Canis lupus familiaris: one gene and its partners. The protein of the gene in region 2 purifies or fractionates together with the protein of the main gene of each other region. This does not show direct contact. Links are inferred from orthologs where the notes say so. Each region holds a gene or a part of one and is shown on either strand. Other genes may lie near its edges.

Region 1 (3,744 bases), on a different chromosome or scaffold from region 2:
CCACCTCACCTCTTTGGTTCCCCTGGGAGCAAAAGCGATCCCCCAAAACCAAAAGGAAAGAGAGCCGCAGACCCTCCCTGCAGCTGCTGACAAAGAGTCTCATTTTGGCAAGTATCTGAGCAAAACCAAAACAAAACAAAAACCAAATAAAATGGTGGTTTAGCATAGACGTGCACATTCACATTGCACAAGGCACCGCTGGGACACAGAGAGGCCAGATACAAGTGTTGATATCGGCTGATAAAGCAAAATATTTGGAAAGCTTCTCATAACTTCGGTCCCTCTGGGATGGACAGATTGTGCTTCATGTTTGTATGGCAATGCTGGCAACATACAGTACAAGGCTGATGGTCCCAGTGTCCCTTCACCCCACCTCCCCGCCCCACTCCCACCCCCACCCCGGGGCCAGATCTCTAGGTTTCCCTCTGCCACCAGGCTACCACTCCCACGAACACGTATCCAGATAGCTTTGGCCTGCCCTGGCCTGACCGGGGGTGGGGGTGGAGGGGCTCCCGCCGGTCACCCGGTGACCCCCATCTCAGTGAGTTCTGCCCAGGGAAGCCCAGCCCGTGACAGGCTGGGAGACTGGAGGGCAGGGAGCTAGGGACCCGCCACCTTCATGTAGAACTAGGGTAACGACCTTCCAAGTCCCTGTATGTCCTCCCTTCCGAGGACGGGCGCCGAGAGATCCTGACCCTTGGAGCAGCCGCGGGCCTGCACGCTGCCCTCTCTCCCCGGGGGTGGGGGTGGGGGTGGGGGGCCTGCACCTCGGGGTGCGGCAGGAACCCTCCGAATAAAATGACAAGGCACCTATCGGCTCCCCCTACTCGGTAGGAATCGGAGCGGCGAGTTTGCGTTTCCAAGGCACGAGGTTATCCTTAATACTAGAGTTGCCAGGCTCGGGCTCGGGCTCGGGCTCGGCTCGGCCCCACGGCGCTTCCCTCCTTCGGGGAGAAGGCCCGGCCTGACCCCCGTCCTGGGCGCACCGAATCGGCGGGCCGGGGCCTCCCAGGCCGGGCCTGCGCCGCGGGGGGCAGCCTGGAGATCCCGAGCCGAGCCCGACTCCACGAATCCACGCCCGGGGTCCCAGCGGGCGGCCGCCCCGCGCCTCACGGGCAGTTGCCCATGGCCTTGACCAGGGAGCTCTCGGGCAGCTGGCGGAAGATGCCCCGCAGCGTGTCCAGCTCGCGGCTCAGCTGTTCCACCCGCTTGCGCAGGCGGTCATTGTCACTGGTGAGCTCCAGCACCTTCTGCTGCGTCTCCACGTTGCGCTGCTTGGCCTTGTCCCGGCTCTTGCGCACGGCGATGTTGTTGCGCTCGCGCCGCACCCGGTACTCGTTGCTGTTCTTGTCCACCGACTTCTTGACTTTGCCCGCGCCGCCGCCTCCGCCTCCTCCGCCTCCGCCGCCTCCTCCGCCGCCTCCTCCGCCTCCGCCGCCGCCCGCCGCGCGGAGGTCGGGGTGCGCGGCGGCCAGCGCCTTGAGCGCGCCGCCGGGGCCCGGCAAGCCCGCGGGGCCGAGGGCGGGCGCCGGGTGAGGGCTGGGCACGGGCGTGGGCGGCGGCGTGGGGTGGCCGGGCTGCAGGTGCATGGTGGTCTGGCCGCAGTGCGCGATCTGGAACTGCAGGTGCGGGGCGGCCAGGTGCGCGGGCGGCGCGTGCGCGTGCGGGTGCGGGTGCGGGTGCGGGTGCGGCGGCGGCGGCGGCGGCGGCTGGTAGGGGAAGAGGCCGGCCAGCGCCAGCTGCTTCGCCTCGTCGTCCTCGCGCGGCTCCTGCTTGATCACCAGCGGCCGCAGCGCCGGCGCCCCGACGCGCTCGTACAGCGGCTCCAGCCTGCCGTCCAGGTAGCCGGCCGCCGCGCAGCCGTAGCCGGGAGCCGGGCCGTGCGCGCCGCCGGGCATCGCCGCGCCGCCGGGGCCCCCGGGGGCGCCCGCGTAGTCGAAGTCGCCGCCGCCGCCGCCGCCGCCGCCGCCGCCGCCGCCGCCGCCCGCGGGGGCCGCGGCCGCCTTGGCCTTCTCCTGCTGCCGGCTGTGCTGGAACAGGTCGGCCAGGAACTCGTCGTTGAAGGCGGCCGGGTCGATGTAGGCGCTGATGTCGATGGACGTCTCGTGTTCGCAGATGCCGCCCAGCGGCTCCGGGGCGGCAGGTGGGGCGGGGGCCTGCGCGGAGCCCGCGCCCCGGGGGAAGCCGAAGGCGGCGCTGCTGGGCGCGTGCGGGGGGCTCTGGAGGTGGCTGCTCATCGGGGGCCGCGGCTCCGCCTCGTAGAAGTCGGCCGACTCCATGGGGGAGCTACAGCCCTCCCGGCATGGCGCGCCTCGGCGGCCTCCAGCCCGCGCGGGGCGCCAACGCCGCCGCCGCCGCCGCCGCCCCCGAGCCCCGGGCCCCGCCGCCTCGCGCCCGCGCAGCTCCGGTCGCGAATGGCCAGGCCCGCGCGGGGCCCGCGTTTATACCGGGGGCGGCGCCCTGCGGAGCCCGACGGAGCGGCGGCGCCTCCTGGGTCCTAGCGCCGGGCCGCCGGCGGGGGAGGCGAGCGGGGCCGCAGCGCGGCGCGGGCGGGAGGGGCCCCGGCGCGGCGCCCCCTGCCCCGGCCCCGCCGGCCCGACCCGGACGCGCGCGCGCCCCGCCCTGGGCCGAGCCGTCGCCCCCGCACGCACGTGGCCGGGGACCGGGCCCCCTCCTCGGGCTGCCCCGGGGCTCCACTTCCAGCCGGCGGCCGGGGAGTCCGGGAGCGCCCAGGCGCGGCGCGCGGTGGGGGCGGGGGGGCCGGGGGGCCGGGGGCCGGGCTTGCGGCCTGAGCCACCGCCGCGGGACTCGCTCTCAGAGCTCCCAGTGGCCCCGCCGGGGCCCCGGTGTCGGCTGGGCGGCGGCGCGGGGAGGGGGCCGGAGCCGGCCGGGAGGCCGAGGGGAGCGCCCGGCGCGCGGCGGCTCCGCGTCCCCCTCCCTGACCTCGGGCCGCCCCGCCGAGGCCGCGCAGGAGCCGGTCCCCGCCCGCCGCGTCCTGCGGGGTCCCCGGGCTGGCGGCGCCGGGCGCTAGGACCGCGCGGGGCGCGGAGGCGAGGCAGGCGGCGGCCGCGGGGAGCGGGAGGACGCGGCCGGCGGGTCCGCGGGGCAGGACAACTTTTTCTTTTCCAGGACTTGCCCCGGCCCGAGGCGCGGGAGGCTGGGCGCGCGGGGCTGGCGCCGTGCCTGGAGCTGGAGCCCAGGGCCGGGGTTCCGCGGCCAGGCGGGGCGCGCAGACGGAGGACGCCGAGCTGAGCCGGGACGGGGACCCCGGGCTCGGGAGCCTCTGCCCCCGCGCCCCGCACCTCCGCCCCAGTTCCGGTGGGCTCCGGGGCGGGAGCCGGGGCTCGGGGACCTCGGGGACCTCGGGGACCTCGGGAGGGCCCTGCCCGCGGCTCGCAGGGCGCTGGGTCCCGGGATCCTGGGGAACGAGGTGGCCAGGCCGGGTCCCCTTGGCCGCCGCCTCCGCATTCGCTGCTGGAGCTGGGGGTTAAGGCAGCGCGTCTCCCCAGCCACGTGGCGCCTCGCGGCTCTATCCCGGGACCGCGGGCGGCGGCGGGGGGGCGGGGGCGCACCCCGGGGCCCGCAGGTCGCCGCTGCCTCTACCTCCCCCGCAGCGCCCCTTAAGACTTAGTGCGCCGAAGCCCGACACCGCCCGGGCGCCGGTTGGAGGTGTGCCCGTTTGGGGAGAGCCGGGCTGCGCAGGCCAGGACCTCCCCCCCCCCCCCCAAGGTGGCCTTCCAGAGC
Region 2 (3,744 bases):
ATCTCCTGAGAAGGGGAGGCAAAGATCAAAAGGTCATGAAGACAAAACAAAAAAAAAAAGAAAAAGACTTCCGCTCACCCCCAACAATACCTAGGATGGGCTATTTTCTACATCCCTCTTTATGGATGGCCTATTCACTGGCGCCAGTAAAAACTAGCCCATCCACCAACCAAGTCTTAGTAACCGCAATGCTAGTGCTCGGTCTTCCACCCCATCCTCAGCCTGTGCCCGTGCCCACGCCCAGTACCAGCAGCAGCTGTGCTCCAGACTCCTCCATCTCAGGTACCACTGTCTGTACTGGACGGGGCCCTCTAGGGGAAAAGGCTCCTCGGGGCAGAGACACATCTCGGGGCCAGTCATCCTCTGGGGGCAGCCCGATCAGACTATGGGGAACAGGAGAGCTCTGGTCAAGAGGGTCTTTCTCTAGCCCACATCTCCAGGGGCAGAGCCAACTGCCATGTGGGGCTCAGCAGAAAAAAGATTTGGAATGGAAAGTTTTTTTTTTCTCCCCTCATGCTGGTCACTTACTCAAAGATTTTGCCTAACTGGTCAGCTTCAGAGTTTCCACAGAAGAGAGGCCTAAGGTGGAAAAAACACAGAAGTCATGTCCAAAGATACAGTAGTGGAATAATTACTGGTAGGTAATGGCTCAAAACAGAGAGTGTGGGGGAATACAGGGATGTGAAGTTCCTAACTTTGGGACATTTCAGAGTTTCTGGTTAGGGACAGAACAGTCAACAATACTTAAGTGAAAGATTGGGCAGGAAATGGATGTGATCTATGACTAAGAGATTTGGTTTGGGAAACTCAAAATAGTTCAGGATGCTTGGGTCCCATACTTGCGACGAAACATCTCTGCGAAGATACAGCCGACACTCCACATGTCCACGGGTGTTGCATACGTAGACTGCAGAAGAACTTCTGGAGCACGATACCAGAGTGTAACAACCTAATAGGAACAAGAAAAGTGGATGAAGACCCCATGGGTTACCATGAACCATAACTGGTTGACTAAAGTCACAAAGTGCCCGACTTCTCAACTGCTACGGTCAACCCCTCTCCTACTCCCCTCTTGCTACTGACCACAGGCGTAAGTGCCATCTGGTAGCTGTAGATTCTGGCCAGGCCAAAGTCAGCCAGCTTGACTGTCCCACCACTGGTCACCAGAATGTTCTCGGGCTTCAGGTCTCGGTGAACGATGCAGTTGGCATGAAGGAAATCTAGGCCTCTTAGAAACTGGCGCATCAGATCCTGGTTTAGAAGGGGGAAGAACAGAGGACCTGGAACTAGGCACCATACCTGAAATCACAGCAGGTTCTGCCACAAAGGTCTCAATCTACTCCTCAGTGTCCACCCACCCTACTCACCTTGATGGTCTCCACTGGCAAGCCCGGTGGGGGTGCCTTGTCCAGGTACGTTCTCAGGTCTTGGTCCACGTGCTCAAACACCAGGGTCACTTTGGTCTCCCGGTCGGTTCGGGCAGTGGCGCAGACGTCCATTAGCCTGGCCAGAACAAGTGGTCACTCACTGATCAATCCCTCTGGACCCGATGCGGCCTTCCCCATTTCCCCAGAATCCCCACCTACAAGTTGTCTTTTCCCCTTTACTACCCACTCCCCACCCCCCACCTTCTCACCGGACAACGTTGGGATGCTCAAAAGCCTCCAGCCGCCTCAGCAATGCCACTTCACGAACTGTGCTGATGGGAAGGCCCCCTCCGGCACCTCCTCCATTAGGGACTCTAACGCTCTTGAGGGCCACGAAGTGGCCGCTGTGCGGATCACGGGCCTTGTACACCGTTCCATAGGCACCAACCCCAATCTCAGCCACTGGCTCGTACCGAGGAGTAGCCATTCTCGGATCAGAGAAGACCCTACAATCACAAAAGCCTCCTGCCACCGAAAATCCCTCAAGAGTTCAGGTGGTATGAGCCTGCCGCAACGAGGTGACTCCCCCACAAGGCATCACAAAGACCCCCCCTCCACCACCCCGTCCCTCTCCCCAGTTCCGTGAGGCTGGCTCCTCAGCTGACACAATGGCTCTAACCCCAACCCCGCCAGGGGGGGTTATTTAACCCACGCCTTAAATATAAACGTGAATCCCTCAAAGAAAGAATTCCTCTTCCTCGGGGACGGGCCGTCGCGCCCCGCACGGGGCAGACCGCACACGACACACCCCCTGCATCGAAGACTCGACATCCGTCCCTACCATTACATCCCAGCTGACCACAAAGGAACTTTGCGCGGGCCGCACTTCCCGCCCTCGAGCGACCCTCCCGTAACCTGCCCGCGTAGGCAGACGCGAGGGCGACAGCGGTCCCGTCCCCGGGAAGGCGCCACGCTCACCTCACTCGGCGCCGGGTGCTGCGGGGGCGGCCCGTTATCGGGGCCCCGGAGCCAGAGCCTGCGGCGCCATACACAGGAGCTCTGTCCGGGGCAGCTGGACGCTCCGGGCCCGACCATAGACAGGCCGCAAGCTAGAGCGGCCCCCGCACCCCCACCCTCACCATGTGACCAGCTGCCAAAGAGGCGCGCGGAAACTGGCGGGGCGGGGCGAAAGCCGGACGTTCGGGCCACGTGACGAGCCGCGCGTGCGCAGAGGGGCGGCCAGAGCGGCCTCGGCCGGGAAGCGGGCGGGGAGGGGAGAGGGCAGGCGGGGCGACGGCGGCCACGTGATCTGTTGCTATCACACGTGACCGCCCGACTCCGCTCGGAGGAGCAGAGGTGTGGCTACGCGGCGGGGCACGTGACCGACTGCCAGACCCGGCGGGGGTGCGGGGAGACGGGGGAGGGTGGAGTCCAGGGCGGTGCCATGGCAACCCGGGCCACCCGGCTCCAGGGCCGAGCTGCAGGCCGCGCCTGAGCGCTTCTGGCGCTCGCTCCTCGCTCCGCGCCTCCCTCTGTGCGCGGCGGTCAGGGAGCTGGAGACGAGGCGGGGGCGGGACGGGCGCTGGAGCCTTTCGGCCTCACTGCCGCGGGGAGACCTGGTCTCGTTTGTGTCTTTGTTTCATTCATTGGCTCATTCAACAAATTTTTACCGAGTGCTCGCTTCCTGTGTGCATGCGGGTTTTTTTTTTCCGGTGTCTCAGTCGCTGGCCCTTTAAAGGAGTGATGGGGCTGTCTGGAAAGACGTAGCCCCCGGTGGGGACAATACCCATCTCAGGGCACAGCCAGCACTAACGGACTGACGGAAGGCACACTAATGCAGTGACCCAACCGGAGGAGTGTCAAGGTGATGCCCTCCCATCTTTCCAACTTCCACCTCTTCCAGGGAGCGTTAAAATAAGACGGTGCTTTCTGGCGGAGAAATTACCAATGAGCAAGAGACAGAAACACTTAACCTGCAAGGTTCTTTGCAACAGGGAGAGGCAATGATATGCGCGTTTGTGTATGTGTGGGTATTTTACACATTGTGTACAGATGGACAGATACAGGAGTGAGCGTGTGCAGGGAGGTTACCTCCACCACCACCTTGGACCTCAGCACTGCGTGAGAATGATTTGTGCTCTTCCACAAACCCTGTGACTCCTTGTTTGGGGTCGTTCTGCTTCCCTCTTTCCCCCGGTGCGAGCTTTCTTAGTCCTTGCTCCCGCCCAGAACTTGGACTTTCCCAAATTGCTTCTGCTCACAGACACTTAGGTCGACAATAGACAGGTTCCTCTGACTTTCCTTATTTCCTAGCCCTTTAGGGGAATGAGAGTAAGGAGGGAAGAGATCAGTATCTCGTTCGGGACAACCTGTCTAA
Region 3 (3,744 bases), on a different chromosome or scaffold from region 2:
CAATGTAGCAATAACTAAAAGCAGGGTTAATGTTAATTAAAATTAGGTTTGTTATGAGCAATTCAAACAAATTAACACTATAATCACCAAATGTTTCATGTTTTGTAATTTTAAATTACTTTTTGAGGCAAAGAATATCATTCATTACTCTTTTCAAGTTTCATTGTAAGGTTAAAGTTTGTTATAAATTTTCAAGAAAAATACAAAAATTACTTTATTTCCAAAGGATTTTCCTGCTATTCCCAGACCACTTCTCAGAACTAAAACCTAAATGAGATGAAACGAATGAATTATCCAGTGACTCAACAGACCTATCTATGTATGGTAAAGAAGTTGCACGCATAAACTGTTGGCAGAGCTTGCTTTATAGCAGCTACTTCATTTTATATGTGGTTAGCTGCAGTCATGATTCAACTCTTGCCTCACAGGAGGACAGTGTCCCTCTCTGGTATCAGACTGGATTTACAGAAAATTTTAAGCTGTAAGAGATGTTAGATATCACAATATTGAAAGCTGTATCCTATTCAAATACTCTCGTAAGTGGTATGTACACAGTGAGTTTATGAATACGGTTCAAATCTATTCTCCCAAGCAGGCAAATATTTCCAGGGTCAGATTAAAATAAGGGTTTGAGATCTAATTAAATTGATGTGATTGGCAGTAATATGGGAAGGAAGGAGCACCCAGTTAGGATTTATAGGTCACTAGGTCAATGTATGAGCTGTGAGATCGGAGATGAATCATACCCTTTCTAAACTTTGTTACATTACACCAAATTCATTATATAGTAAGGGTCAGGTAAAATAATGTCTTAAAATGAAACTATCATTAATCCATAATCACTTTAGGATTACATTGATTTGATACAGATGTTCTTTAAAACTTACCAAAACTACCATCCATTGGATAATCAAGAGGTACCAGCGGTTTTCTTGGTCCAGGTAGAGTAATAGCTGAATTAAAAGCCAGGACATTTTCATGTTCTGTTTTTTTAGATTCAGCTGGCCTCTTCTGAGTCTCTTCTTCTGTTTCATCCACATGAATGGTAAATGCAGGCTGTTTACTGTTTGCTTTCCAGGGAGGAATAGTGACTTGTTCATCATTTATAGGAAGATCCTTAAGAGGTGCAACCTAAAAAGAAATGAATAGCTAGCTTTGAGCCTATTAAATGGAGTTCTGCTTGCTTTCTTCCCCTTACGGTTCTCAGTTTCTGTTTTCACTCCCAAATACTCTAAGGAAATTAAACTATCTGGGACAAAATCCAGGCAGTAAAGTTTGAATAGCTGAAGAAAGGGATGTTCAAGTTCGTTAGCGGCATTTCTACATAAGTTATAGAATCACACTAAATGCATTTATGCAAAACTAATCAAGGCCACAAGAGGAGTGGGGTAGCAGGCTGAATGATGACAAGTTTAGGAGAGCCGGCAAAGAGGTGTTGGTTCACCGCTTTGGCCCCAGGGTGGAGCAACAGAGCAAATCCGGTAAAATGGCGGAATTTAGTAAAAAAAAATTATTTTTTATACTCTTTCCTAAAGTAAAGGTAATCTTAACCAAATGGCGAGCAGGAAGGGGGTCCAGATCCTAGGGCAGTGCCTGGGGTTTAAAGCGGCGAAGAAAGCGCGGACATACGTCGTGGTGCTCGGTCTGACCCTCATATTCTATCGGAAAATATACCAAATAAAGAGCAGACAGGGAGCAAAACACACAGCGCTGGCGAAGAGAGCTATGGGAAAGATTTACGTGGCATCCCCCGCGCCAGAACACTAGGCATCAAGGGGACTGCAGACCCAGGCCTCCCTTACAACAGCTCGGAAGATGCTTTCTCGCCACGCTCCCCGGCCTGCTCAAACCTCGTGCAAAACTCCCGCTCGGCCCTCCTCGCCTGCAGATATCGTTCATCTCTTTACCCGCCGTGTCTTGGGCCTCTGCTGCGGCGCTGGGACGCGCTGGTTCCCGGCCTTCAGGACCGCCAACCCGGCCCGGGTCCGGGGCTGCTGGGCGGGCGCCGCCTTCTCGGGGTTGATGTTCTCCTGGTCCTCTTGGAGCGCCGTATGCTGCAACGTTAGCAGCGACGAGCCCGCCTCGCGGGCCTCAGGCCCAGGCTCCGAGCTGCCCAACATCACTGCTCCCCGGGTCGCGGCGGGATCAGCCTGCGGCGCCAAGCAGCGTGTACTGCGTCCCGCCGACCCCGCCGAGAAACGCTCCAGCCGCAGCCGCCCGCGGCAGTCCGGGCCAGCCTGCTCGCTCGGGATCGCGCAGCTCCGAGGACGTTGCGAAAGGCTCAGGCAGGAACTGCCGGGCGTGGAGGGCTCAAGACGCCCCCGAGATGTAGCGAGCAGCCCGCCGGAGCGGCGGCTGTTCGTGCAGTTCAAGTATCCCGCGACTATTGAAATGGGCCAATGGGAAGGGCCGATGCCCCTGACGTCACTCAAGGCGACACGGTCGCAGACAAATGAAGGAAGCCGTGAAGGCCACGGAGCGGGGGCGGAGAAACGCCGAAAGGCGGCGGGAGGGAAAACGCCTGCGCCGGCCAAAGAGGCGGGGCCTGAACTTCTAGTGACTAAACTGGGCCACTTGGTGACCCGAGGGTGCTGGGCCGCGGCTGTCTCTAGGACCGACGGAGTCAAACCCCAGCAATTGTTAGTGGCCGCGCCTGCCTAACGCTGGCCGTGGGGCCCTCAGTTGGCTGGACTGACTGGTCTCCCAAGCTCGGATCCGACCCAGCCGCGAACCGGCCTGGTAGGCGGGCCCCGTGATGACACGTCTCTGATTCTCAGTGTTCTCATCTATTAATTGGGGGTAAAATGCTACATGTCGTATGGCTGTTGTGATTATGTAATGTGCGTAAATCATTAACATGCTTGCTTACTGATCCTCGAGTGTGGACTGTACTGTCATGTATCATTTAGGGGTTTCTTCAGTCATGCTTCCGAATTCACCTCATGAAGATGTGATTAGGTAGGTGCTACCTTAACTACTGTTGATACATATATATAAACAAATAGTAATGTACTGGAAGAAACTCAACTAGACAGTCACTAATTTTGATGCTTTTCCCAGCTGTGCCAGCCAACAAAAAGCACCCAGTGAAATTTCTAGTGACATAGATACAGAATTTTGTTCCATTTGGCAATGAAGGCTGTTTAAATAAAAACAACATGACCTTTTAAAATAAAACTCTCAGTGATATGTGCCTTTAACAAGTTCTCAGATTTAATAAACAAGGCTTGCATATATTAATATAATGGTAAAGAATTAAGAGACCTTGTTTTCTGACAAATTCATGAGGATGCCCTTCTTAAAAACATGATTATATAATCTTTACGCCATTTTAAAACAATCTTCAAACACAATATTCTCCTGAGTATGAAGAAACATGAATTAACATTAGTGAATAAAACTTCTGTAGCTTTAAAGTCTTATTTCCCTCTCTACATGATAAAACAAGTCAGTGGACACTAGTGCAGGAAAATCTAAGAGGCCATCACTATTTCTGCACTATTCACATGTAGTAGCCTTGTACAGTTCTACTGGTTATAGGACAGCAAGTGAAGATCCCTTCAATCTGTGCAGCTCTGCTCATTTCCCTGGCCAAAATTTATAGCACTGAGCATACTCAAGCTCACAAACTGAGCACGGGTCACAAAACATTACCTAGCAAGAGTGAAATCAGTTGCAAATTGGGGGATCCCTGGGTGGTTCAGTGGTTTAGCGCTGCCTTCCGGCCCAGAGTGTGATCCTGGA

Evidence for each region. Proteins that work in one complex are often made in the same cells at the same time.
Region 1: the proteins of CDK4 (region 2) and CEBPA purify together in Homo sapiens (affinity purification with western blotting; 3 studies listed by BioGRID, with this or other methods). This does not show direct contact. The link is inferred for Canis lupus familiaris from reciprocal best matches to the Homo sapiens genes CDK4 and CEBPA.
Region 3: the proteins of CDK4 (region 2) and CCNA2 purify together in Homo sapiens (affinity purification with western blotting; 3 studies listed by BioGRID, with this or other methods). This does not show direct contact. The link is inferred for Canis lupus familiaris from reciprocal best matches to the Homo sapiens genes CDK4 and CCNA2.

Annotation. Positions count from the first base shown.
Region 1 is NC_049222.1:119,691,229-119,694,972, reverse strand, and holds the start of CEBPA (CCAAT/enhancer-binding protein alpha), read right to left. Parts: upstream 2,365-3,744; 5' UTR 2,280-2,364; coding exon 1,451-2,279; intron 1,412-1,450; coding exon 1,110-1,411; 3' UTR 1-1,109. UniProt on the Homo sapiens protein: Transcription factor that coordinates proliferation arrest and the differentiation of myeloid progenitors, adipocytes, hepatocytes, and cells of the lung and the placenta.
Region 2 is NC_049231.1:2,167,214-2,170,957, forward strand, and holds the start of CDK4 (cyclin-dependent kinase 4), read right to left. Parts: upstream 2,547-3,744; 5' UTR 2,346-2,546; intron 1,874-2,345; 5' UTR 1,855-1,873; coding exon 1,637-1,854; intron 1,504-1,636; coding exon 1,368-1,503; intron 1,252-1,367; coding exon 1,084-1,251; intron 950-1,083; coding exon 840-949; intron 580-839; coding exon 529-579; intron 384-528; coding exon 248-383; intron 6-247; coding exon 1-5.
Region 3 is NC_049240.1:19,143,301-19,147,044, reverse strand, and holds the start of CCNA2 (cyclin-A2), read right to left. Parts: upstream 2,406-3,744; 5' UTR 2,121-2,405; coding exon 1,908-2,120; intron 1,132-1,907; coding exon 888-1,131; intron 1-887. UniProt on the Homo sapiens protein: Cyclin which controls both the G1/S and the G2/M transition phases of the cell cycle. Functions through the formation of specific serine/threonine protein kinase holoenzyme complexes with the cyclin-dependent protein kinases CDK1 or CDK2.